Linked DNA regions of Macaca mulatta. The protein of the gene in region 1 interacts with the protein of each later gene in a pairwise test. Links are inferred from orthologs where the notes say so. Each region holds a gene or a part of one and is shown in the gene's direction. Other genes may lie near its edges.

Region 1 (5,486 bases):
CAGGCTCAGCCCCACAGACGCCCTGCATCACGTGCCACTCGGAGATCCCCGGGCCCCTTGCTTCTCCCGACTGGCTGTCCACTGGGGTTCCCGTGGCCCCTACTCGGGCTCCATTGTTTGCTGGGGCGGCTCACAGAGCTCAGGGAAGCACCTGGTTTATGATGAAGGACACAGGAGGGGTCTGAGGGCGAGGCCAGGAGGGTCCCCGGGGCAGGAGCCTGTGCCCCGTGCCGCTGGTGCCACCCTCCCAGCATGAGAAGCAGTTCATTCGCCTGCTTCTGTGAACGCCCTTGCTTAAAGTTCGTGGGACTGGGTCTCCCCGGAGGCTGGGGAGGATCCTGTTCACCTGCCCAGTCTCCCCAGGACCTGCCTCCTTCTGGGCTCTCTAGGGGCCCCAAGTCATCTCAGTAGTGAAGACTCAGGTGGGAGTCAGGGGCTGCTTGTGGACGACAGGAGACACGTCTGTCACTGAGTTCCCAGGGTCCTCGATGCCCTGTGCCAGAAAGCGGGGCCAAGACCACATCCACGCGTTTCCTGTGACCCTGAGCCGGCCCGCTCCCTCCTCTCAGCCCGCTCTGGGCTTTGAGGCCTCGTGTGCGGCCCCATGGGGACGCCAGTTCTTGTGCGGCAGCGGTGTTCTCATGTCTGTCTCCCTTGGTCCCGCCCCTGGGCCCCTAGAAAGCCAGGTTTGTCTCCAGCCAGCTGACAGTGGGCAGGGGGTGCCGCCATCCGAGGCGGTTTGGGGATTGCTGGGACCACTGGGGACGAGGGCTTGGGCAGGGCCTCCTGGAGCTGGGCAGACGGGAACAGGCCATCCCTGGTGCTCTCCTCCAGCCTGGCGCTCTCCAGCCTGAACAAGCACGTGGAGGCCGTGGCCTACTACAAGAAGGCCCTGGAGCTGGACCCTGACAACGAGACGTACAAGTCCAACCTCAAGATAGCGGAGCTGAAGCTGCGGGAGGCCCCCAGCCCCGTGAGTGCCGCGGGGCGAGCGGCTCCAGAACGCGGAGCGGAGCTGACTGTGCGGGTCAGGGACAGGGCCTCGGGCACACCAGCGGCTCTCGGCCTAACCTGGGTGTCGTGACGGTCCGGGGTTTGTTTCGGTCGATGGTGAGATGCACAGGCATGGAAGTGACCGTCATGAGGAGGAGGTTCATGCCCCAGACCCCTGGAACCAGTAGGCGGCTGCAGGCCTGCGCGGGGAGGCAGAGGGAGGGCACAGACAGGACGCTCCATGTGGGTTTTGCGGCGGGGCCGGGTGAGGAGGCTTAGGGTGGGAGGGTTGGAGCCATCTCATTAGACCAGGCCTGAGGGCTGCCACTGGTTGCCTGATTCCTGGCCTGGGGGTGAGTGGGGCAGGTGGATCGTGGCCCTGGGGTGATGGGGCAGGTGCTGAGGGTGTGGGTTCCGGGTTGGTTTGTATTTCAAAGGTGTGTTTCGGGGTGAGTCATTTGCTGTCTCTGGGAATTGGCTACTCCAGGAGGGGGCGGCTCTGCCAGGCCAGCAAGGCCCCAAGGTGTCAAAGTGGCAGAATACAGGAAATAAACACAGGATAATAGACTGTGTTTTTGTGGCCTGTGGAGTTGTGCGGGAGATAAACACGGGATGAGAGACTGTGTCCCCCGGGCGGTCAGGCTGTGCGGGAGATAAACACGGGATGAGAGACTGTGTCCCCGGGCGTCGGGCTGTGCGGGGGATAAACACAGGATAGAATGTTCCTCCCTGGGCGGTTGGGCTGTGCTTCGTGCTGCCTGCCTCAAAGCACCCGCCGGCCGCAGTTTGATAGAATGTCTGAGCCTGTGGGGGGCGTTGTTTCTGGGTTCCAGGGAGCTTATTCAACGTGGCCTCTGGTCCAGGCCGCACTAACCAGGGCTGTTCTCATCCTCAGACGGGAGGCGTGGGCAGCTTCGACATCGCCGGGCTGCTGAACAACCCCGGCTTCATGAGCATGGTAAGGGCCCGCCCCTCCTCCCTGTCCATGGTACCTGTGCCACGCCCCAGGCCTGCATCTTCTGTGTCACCGCTCCTGGCCAGGGCTTTCTTGCCTCGGCACTGCTGGCATCTGGGACCAGATGGTTCCTGTCTGTGGGGCCATCCCAGGCACCGCGGGGCGCTGGCAGCGTCCCTGGCCTCACCCACCCCATGTCAGGAGCACCCCCACCCTCAGCTTTGACGATCAAAGGTGTCCCCGATGTTAATGTCCCAAGCAAGACGCACCAGTAGTGAGCACCGAAAACTGCGTCCTGGCTCTCCTGGCTGAATAGCCCGGGGAGATCGCACCCCCGCCCCACCCCGGCGTGGGCTGCCGCTCGCAGTGCAGAGACACTGATTACAACACAGCCGTGTCTGCCTGCAAGGGAAGCAGACATGGTTCAGGCAAGGGAAGCAGAGCGCCGGGCGCCCTGGGCACAGGTGTACCTCCCGATGCCCAGGCACTCGTTCTTCCAGAGGGGCAGACTTTGGCAGGGGGTTCCTTGACTGAGATCCTTGGAGAGCCACCCACCCACACACGCATGTTCATTCCCTGGGAGGTCTGTGTGCCCTGGGACCACTCTGCAGGCTCCCACGGCCTCAGGGTGCAGGGACTTGCCTAAGGCTGTTAGGGGGGAGAAAAGCCCTCAGCCTCACTGGCCGTCAGAAAAATGCCCCAGCCGCGCCAGGGGCCCTGCCTGGGCCGTGCCATTCAGCAGAGGCCGCACCTCTTACTGTAACCCTCGGCCTCTGGCCAGGCTGCCAGGGGAACGCATGCTCCCTCATCATGGGATGGAGGGTGAGTGGGCCCCAGCCCTCCACGGGGCCTCTCAGCCTGGCCATGGCACAGACTCCTTTTCCCTTTAGACATCTGAGGTTGGCAGAATAAGGCCCGCAGCTGGGTTTTGTTAATAAAGTTTTTTTTTTTTTTTGAGATGGAGTCTCACTCTGTTGCGTCTCCCAGGTTCAAGTGATTCTCCTGCCTCACCCTCCTGAGTAGCTGGGATTACAGGTGCCCACCACCACGCCCAGCTAATTTTGGTGTTTTTTAGTAGAAATGGGTTTCACCATGTTAGCCAGGCTGGTCTCGAACTCCTGACCTTGTGATCCACCTGCCTCGGCTCCCCAAAGTGCTGGGATTACAGGTGTGAGCCACTGTGCCTAACCGATAAAGTTTTACTGACACACAGCCGTGCCCATTCATGCTTCTAGTGTCAGTGGTGGCTTTTACGATACAGTGGCAGAGCTGAGTAGTTGGGTCAGGCACCCCAAGTCTGGAAAGGCTAAGAGTATTTACACACTGGCCCTTTACACAGCGAGTTTGCCACACCTCTGAGCCACCTGTTTTCAACAGGTCCAAAGGAATAATCCCAAGTGGAAAGTTAACGTGAGAAAGTGCCCAGTACAGTGCTATTTATTTATTTATTTATTTTTACTTCTTTTTTGAGACAGAGTCTTGCTCTGTCACCCAGGCTGGAATGCAGTGGTACGATCTCGGCTCACTGCAAGCTCCGCCTCCCTGCAAGCTCCGCCTCCCAGGTTCAGCCAATTTTCCTGCCTCAGCCCCCCTAGTAGCTGGGATTACAGGTGCGCACCACCACACCCGGCTAATTTCGTATTTTTAGTAGAGACGGGGTTTCACCATATTGGTTAGGCTGGTCTCGAACTCCTGACCTCAAGCGATCTGCCTGCCTCGGCCTCCCAAAGTGCTGGGATTCCAGACGTGAGCCCCCGTGCTCGGCCACAGTGCTATTGATTGATAGAGCAAAACTGGAACCAAATCTGCTAAACCAAATCTGCTAAAGTAGACACAGCAGCTAAAATAACCAAACGCATCCACACGGTGAAACCGTGCAGCCAGTGAGAGAACGCTGCTAAAGCAGGAACCCGAAACAGGATTTAAGTCACAATGTGGAGGTCACAGCTCGTGGGTGGGGGGACGAGAATGTAGGGAAAAGGGTACGAAAGACCAAATGCCCGGCTCTTACTGTTCGCTGGCGTGCTGGCGCCCGGGGTCAAGGCTGGTGAAGAGGGAAAGTGTCTGATGAAAGAGAGCGATGTGCCTGGAGCTTTGTCTTCCTGACAAATTTGTTCTGTTCTTCAGGCTTCAAACCTAATGAACAACCCCCAGATTCAGCAGCTGTAAGTGACAACCGGGCTCCTCCACGTCGTCTTGTGGTTACGTTTCCTTCTATTGTGGGAAAATGCACCTGACATAAAACTAGCCCCTTTAAAGTACACAGCTTCATGGTGTTACGTACATTCACACTGCCAGGCAGCTGTCACCACCATTGAGCACCAGCACGTCTTCATCACCTCCGAAAGAAGCCCCTTCCCCATCACCTGTCACTCCCCAACCCCTCTCCCATCCCCTGACAGCCACACATCCCCTTCCCGTCTCTGTGGCTGGGCCTGTCCTGGACATTTCATAGAAACAGGGTCACACACTGCGTGGTCTTTTGTGTCTGACGTCTCTCACTGAGCGTGACGTCCTCAAGGTGCATCTGTGCTGAGGCCTGGGTCAGGGCCTCGCTCCTTTTCGTGGCTGAGTAATATTCCAGTGCGGATGGACCACGCTGTGCTGATCCACACGTCTATCCGTGGACATTGGGGCTGTTTCTGCCTTTTGTCTGTTGTGAACGGTGCTGCTTGAGCATGGGTATGCAAGCATCTGTGGGAATCCTGTTCATTTCTCTTGTGTATAAACCTCTGAGTGCAGTTGCTGGCTCATGTGGTAACTCCCCAGTGAACTCTGTGCTTATTGGGGAACTGCTCGCCTGTTTTCATGGTGAAATCTTTTTTTTTTTTTTGAAACGGAGTCTCACTCTGTCACCCAGGTTTGAGTGCAGTGGCACAATCTTGGCTCATTGCAACCTCTGCCTCCTGGGATCAAGTGGGTCTCCTGTCTCAGCTTCCCAAGTAGCTGGAATTACAGGCACCCGCCACCACGCCTGGCTAATTTTTGCATTTTTAGTAGAGATGGGGGTTTCACCACGTTGGCCAGGCTGGTCTTGAACTCCTGACCTCAGGTGATCCACCCACCTCGGCCTCCCAAAGTAGAGGGATGACAGGTGTGAGCCACTGCGGCTGGCCCATGGTCAAATCTAAAAGCATAGTTTCCTGGCCACAGCACCGTGGCCATTTGGGCTGGACCAGTTTCTGGAGCGGGGCTGTCCTGGGCACTGCAGGGTACTAACAGCATCTCTAGCCTCCACCCACTGCATGTCAGGAGTCCCCCCGCCACCGCTGTCTTGGCGTAACCCGATCGTGGCTGTTGAAAATGTCGGCTGCCACTGCAGGGGTCCTCTGGGGGCAGGATCACCCCCTGGCTGAGAACCATGGTCTTTAGGCCAAAGAAGGAAGGGCGTTCCGGGAAAGCGGGTGAACTCACAGGCTGGGTTTGGGCCCAGGAGGCCCGCCAGGTGGTGAGAGAGAATCCTCTCCTGTGGGGGACGGTGAGGGGCTGAGAGGGATTCTCTCCCGGGCCACTGTGAGGGGCTGCGGTGGGGATGGCG
Region 2 (6,171 bases), on another chromosome or scaffold:
ACCACTGCACTCCAGCCTGGGTGACAGAGTAAGACTGTTTCAAAAATAAATAAATAAATAGTCAAAGTGTTAATAAATGGACTTTAATTGCAGTGTCTGTTAATACGAATAACAGCATAAAAATAAAAATATAATTGACAGCCCCTTTAGTGTCATGTTTATGGTTTTATTTCAGCAAATATAAATTTTTCAGATTTGGATTTTCATGTCCAAATGGTCCTGGCCTCTAAATGTCTCCTAAGCATATTTTTCTTTTCTTTTCTTTTCTTTTGAGACAGAGTCTTGCTCTGTTGCCCCGGCTGGAGGACAGTGGTGCGATCTCAGCTTACTGCAACCTCCCCTTCCCGGGTTCAAATGATTCTCCTGCCTCAGCCTCTGGAGTAGCTGGGACCACAGGTGTGCACCACCAAGCCAGGCTAATTTTTGTATTTTTGGTTGTGATGGGGTTTTATGTTGGCCAGGCCGGTCTTGAACTCCTGACGTCAGGTGATCCACCTGCCTCGGTCTCCCAAAGTGTTGGGATTACAGGGATTAGCCATCTCATATGTCCACCTAAACCTACGTCCTCCATGAGGGTATAAGATCTTCACCGGCAAATACCAGCATAGTTTGTTTCTTTTTAAAAGATACTTCAGTCAAGGAAAGGCAGAAGGCCAGGCACAGTAGCTCATGCCTGTAATCCCAGCACTTTGGGAGGCCGGAGGCAGGAGGACTGTTTGAGCCCAGGAGTTCAAGACCAGTCTGGGCTACATAGCAAACTGCGTCAAATAAAAAATAAAAAATAAATAGGCTGGGCACGGTGGCTCATGCCTGTTATCCCAACACTTTGGGAGGCCAAGGTGGGCAGATCACCTGAGGTCAGGAATTCGAGACAAGCCTGGCCAACATGATAAAACCCCATCACTACTCAAAGTACAAAAAGTAGCCGGGCGTGGTGGTGCACACCTGTAGTCCCAGCTACTTGGGAGGCCGAGGCAGGAGAATTGCTTGAATCCGGAGGCAGAGGTTGCAGTGAGCCCGAGATCATGCCACTGTACTCCAGCCTGAGTGACAGGGCAAGACACTTTCTTAAAAATAATAATAACACAAATATATAAAATTAATAATTAAAAAAATAAAGAAAGAAGAGCAGAGGGGAGCAGGCCTGGTATCTGAATATTAAGGTAGGCCTTCTGTGGAAGTCCGTCCTTAACCTTTTCCTGAGTAGATCATTTAAGGTGCAGCAATGCTCCTGCTCAAATTACTTTTTTTTTTTTAAATTTGAGACGGAATCTTGCTGTTACCCAGGCTGGAGTGCAATGGTGCGATCTCGGCTCACTGCAACCTCCACTTCTTGGGTTCAAGGGATTCTTCTGCCTCAGCCTTGTGAGTAGCTGCGATTACAGGCGCGCGCCATTACACCCGGCTAATTTTTTTAAAATTTTTTTTTAGTAGAGATGGGGTTTCACCATGTTGGTCAGGCTGGGCTGGAACTCCAGATCTCGTGATCCACCCACCTCGGCCTCCCAAAGTGCTGGGATTAGGGCGTGAGCCACCGCGCCCGGCAACTCAATGACTTTTAAACACTTCTCTCTGGGGAGAGAGATTGCAGAGAATGGGAGTAAAGAGAAAGGCGGTGAGATAATCCCAAGTACTTTATCTTAGAGCAGAAAAAATAAAGGGAAAAGTAAAAGCCCAAGGCCGAGAAACAGATTTGCTTCTTAAAGGGCTGTTCTGTGTCCCTAAGGGCGCTGAAGGTCAGTTTATGTGCAATGCTTTTAAGGTCTGGGTTGGTTTCTTGCATTGTAGCTACTACCTCCCTGGCCTGCAGTTTACTGACCAGAGGGAGGGAGAGGGTGTGATTGTTTGGAAAGAGTTTAAACGGTGATAAGAATTGAATTTTGTTATGCCCTGCACAATCCAGTAACAGCAATAATGGCAATGAAAACGAAAGTTAATCTACAATCCTATCACCCGATTGTTTCTATTTTCCCTTTTATTCCCTCATGCATTAAACATTATGCAAAGCACTCCGCTACTCTTGGTTACAGTGCAGCTTGTATATATTCTGAACAAAAATTTGCATTTTGCTTTTCTTTTCCTTTTTGAATTTCTGAGGCTGCAAAATACATCTTCACAAGAGCGGCTTTAATGGTTACCTAACATTCCATCCTGCACATACATTTTAAGGAACTGCTGCAGTGCAAGTATCCAACATTTGAGCGTCAACGCCAACAGATTTGACCTTGCACTGCAGGGACTGGAGGTCGGTCAAGGTCAGGCGGAGGCTGCCAGGCTGCCAGGGTGGAGGAAGGCGCCGAGGCAGAGGCCAGCGCGCCCATCGCGCGGCTCCTCGGGGCACCTGCTGCCTTGGCGCCTTTTCCCTCTGCCTTCGCCTCGCCCGCAGCGCCCTCCGCGGAGGGCCCCGCCCGGTGCGCGCGCATCCCCGCCCCCAGGCGATCTGTCAGAGCACCTCGCCGAGCGTACGTGCCTCAGGAAGTGACGCAAGGCCCCGGGGGGCCGGGGGCGGGGCCAGGCTATAAACCGCCGGTTCGGGGCCGCCATCCCCTCAGAGCGTCGTGATATCGGGTGGCGGCTGAGGCGGCGCGGGACGGAGGACGCGCTAGTGTGAGTGACTGCGGGCTTCTAGAACGACGCCGACCCTCGTGGCCTCCCTTCGTCTTGCGGGGCTTGCTGGAGCGGCCGCTCCGCTGCTGTCCAGCAGCCACAGGGGACCGCGCGGGGAGCGGGAAGGCGGCCGCGGCCCCAGGCGGGGCGGCCGGGATGGAGCGGGGCCGCGAGCCTGTGGGGAAGGGGCTGTGGCGGCACCTCGAGCGGGGTCGGGCGGCTGTGCGGAGAGGCGTCCCTTCTCCTCTCGTCCCTTCTCCTCTCGTCCCTTCTCCTCTCGTCCCTTCGCCTCTCGTCCCTTCTCCTCTCGTCCCTTCGCCTCTCGTCCCTTCGCCTCTCGTCCCTTCGCCTCTCGTCCCTTCGCCTCTCGTCCCTTCTTGCCCGCCGCCTCAGTCACAGAGCGACGAATGGCTTCTCTTACTGCTCGGAGGACGAGAGCAGGTGTACCCCACGTCGCTCAGCCCCGCGGACTTCGGGTCCTCGCCCTTGCAGGCTGCAGGCCCTCGTGCGCGGGCTCCGGGCTGCGGGTCCGGGAGCGCGGGCGCAGTCCCGGTGCAGCTGCGCGGCGTGCGGCGTCGGGGAACACGTGGCTGCTCCAGGAAGTCGCCCCGGGGAATGGCTGGGATCCGTGGGTGACCTTGGGCTTGTAAACCTTCGCTTCCCCGGGCTCCGGGCCGGCCCCGCTCTCACTGCGGAAGGGGACAGAGCTGTCCCCGATTCGGTTACCTGGCGTGTTACAGGCATTAATTAGATACGGGCTTCTGTAAACTGACCCTTCGGCTCTGGTACCAGCTGGTCTCGCCACGCTCTGCCTGTTCGCCGTGTGTGGATTCTATTTTCTCAAGGCAGAATCCGGCGGAACGCCGCAGGTGTTGACATTAAGAATATTGCTAGCAGTTCTCACGACAAGACGGGAGCCATGGGAGTCTTATTGGTGAAAGACACTTGGAGATTAGCGGTGTGGTCAGAGGGCTGCGCTGTGTTGATGGGCGCCCGAGAGGCCGTTGTGTCACATTCTGCTGGACAGTTCTTTAAGGTTGGGAGGGTGGGTAAGAAAATACATTCTGATTCGGCTTTTTTCGGTTAACGCTTTCCCTCTGCTCACTGCTTGTAGAGACTTGGGTACGTCACTTATCCGGGGACTGGATTCTGCAGCTTTTTCCATTTTCTTCCCCGTTGATAAGAGGATTGAAGTAGGAAATTGTATTTGGCCACCCCATACTTGTATGCTAAGCTTACTGTGAAAATTAAGGTTAAGCTCTCTAGAGTGTTTGTGGACCCTGCTGGTCCCCCCACCCCCCGCCCTCAATTTTGGGTTACAGTATGCTTCTCAAGAAAATCCAGAGTTAAGATAATTTTTGTCATCGATATTGCAAGGTTATATAGAGCACGGCATCCTTCAATTTCCTTTGGATGTTCTTATCAAGTAATGGTGGCTGTAAACCTAGCCTGTGTTGAAGGTCGTTGGATACACAGCAGTTTGGCTAACTGTGCCCTCAGGCGAGGCAGTTACTTGCCTCTGATAATGTATTTACATGTCATGGAGCAAGGTTCCCAGCCAAACCTGAATTGGATCACAATCCAATTTATGTTAAAACTGATTCTTGGTTGGGTGCCGTGGCTCACTCACACCTGTAATCCCAGCACTTTGGGAGGCTGAGGCAGGCGGATCACCTAAGGTCAGGAGTTCGAGACCAGGCTGACTAACATGGTGAAAGCCTGCCTCTGCTAAAAATACAAAAATTAGCAGGGCATGGTGGCTCATGCCTGTAATCCCAGCACTTTGGGAGGCCAAGGCAGGCAGATCGCTTGAGGTGAGGAGTTCGAGACCAGCCTGGCCAACATGGGGAAAGCCCATCTCTACTAAAAATACAAAAATTAGCTGGGTGTGGTGGTGCACACCTGTAATCCCAGCCACTCAGGAGGCAGAAGCTTGAGAATCACTTTAACCTGGAAGTCAGAGGTTGTAGTGAGCTGAGATGGCACCACTGCACTCCAGCCTGGGCCACAGAACGAGATGCCATCTCAAAAACAAAAAAAGAACCTCCCTACTAAACCAGAAGAGTGGCTGGGATGGGAAAAGATTACTGGTCCAATGTTTTCATTATATTTTTCATATCATTTGGAATCTCATACATCAAGCATGCCCCAGTACTGTTAAATACAATATTTTTACTCATTATCAGGTCGTTCAATACCAGTTATTACAGGATAGGGAAGTCAGTCAGAGAAGGCTTCATAGAGATGGCCCTTGAGCTGAGCCTGGAAGAAATGAGGACCTCAAGGAACAGAGAAGAATGTTAGTGGGTAAAAAGATGGGCTGGATTCTGTCAGATTTTGGAGAAAATAGAGGGTAGTGAAGTGGTTAGGCAGTGAATGTGTTCCATTTCATAGTTCAAAATGTGGGGCTACGTTTTGCCTACCTGAACTTCATTATTAATGTGAAAAATTGAATTGTTGTTTTCAGTCACCATTGAGAACACCAAAGATACACAAGTAGCTTAGATTATTTATTTATTTATTTTTGACGGAGTTTCACGCTTGTTGCCCAGGCTAGAATGCAATGGCGCGATCTCTCCGCAACCTCCACCTCCCCTGGGTTCAAGTGATTCTCCCGCCTCAGCCTCCCCAGTAGCTGGGATTACAGGCATTCGCCACCACGCCCAGCTAATTTTGTATTTTTTTTAGTAGAGATGGAGTTTCTCCATGTTGGTCAGGCTAGTCTCAAACTCCCGACCTCAGGTGATCTGCTCGCCTCGGCCTCCCAAAGTGTTGCTGGGATTACAGGTGTGAGCCACCATGCCCGGCCATCGCTTTGTGTTCTTAAAATTAATTTAAAACTAGAAAACTTGAGGAATTATGGTTCAGATGAGTGTCAAACCTTGCAAGATGTTTTTTCCTGGAAAAGGATGATTAAAATTGGTTCAGGGTGGGGCCTTCCAGGTCTGCTCTAGTGATTGGGTCCTTACTGCTCTGGTGGTGGCAGTGATAAGCTTTTTGTAACAGAAGGGGCAAAAGATTGTGCTTCTGGCCAGGCGCAGTGGCTCACGCCTTGGGATGTTCTTGTCAAGTAACTAATCTTAGTACTTTGAGAAGCCAGGTGGGTGGATCACCTTAGGTCCAGACCACCCTGGCCAACATGGTGAAATCCTGTCTCTTAAAAATACAAAAATTAGCCGGGCATGGTGGCAGGCGCCTGTAATCCCAGGTACTCGGGGTCTGAGGTGGGAAAATCGCTTGAACCCAGGAGTTGGAGGTTGCAGTGAGCCGAGATCATGCTGTTGCACTCCTGCCTCAGCAACAAGACTGAAACTCTGTCTCAAAAAAAAAGATTATGCTTCTAAGAATATGACCCATTGCATATGGACGCTGGTCTTTAAAGCTTGGATTTAAAAATAAGTTTTTTTGTAATGGGTTTTAGAACTTTTTTTCTTTTTTTTTGAGATGGAGTCTCACTGTCCCCCAGGCTGGAGTGCAGTGGCGCCATCTTGGCTTACCACAACCTCTGCCTCCCGGGTTCAAGCGATTCTCCTGCCTCAGCCTCCCCAGTAGCTGGGATTACAG

Evidence for each region. The genes of interacting proteins can lie anywhere in the genome.
Region 2: the proteins of SGTA (region 1) and TFRC interact in binary tests that used the Homo sapiens proteins (3 or more experiments, as listed by UniProt). The two-hybrid records come from large-scale screens. The link is inferred for Macaca mulatta from reciprocal best matches to the Homo sapiens genes SGTA and TFRC.

Annotation. Positions count from the first base shown.
Region 1 is NC_133424.1:3,529,896-3,535,381, reverse strand, and holds part of SGTA (small glutamine-rich tetratricopeptide repeat-containing protein alpha), read left to right. Parts: intron 1-834; coding exon 835-973; intron 974-1,888; coding exon 1,889-1,951; intron 1,952-4,075; coding exon 4,076-4,113; intron 4,114-5,486. UniProt on the Homo sapiens protein: Co-chaperone that binds misfolded and hydrophobic patches-containing client proteins in the cytosol. Mediates their targeting to the endoplasmic reticulum but also regulates their sorting to the proteasome when targeting fails.
Region 2 is NC_133407.1:1,620,284-1,626,454, reverse strand, and holds the start of TFRC (transferrin receptor protein 1), read left to right. Parts: upstream 1-2,550; 5' UTR 2,551-2,607; intron 2,608-6,171. UniProt on the Homo sapiens protein: Cellular uptake of iron occurs via receptor-mediated endocytosis of ligand-occupied transferrin receptor into specialized endosomes. Endosomal acidification leads to iron release.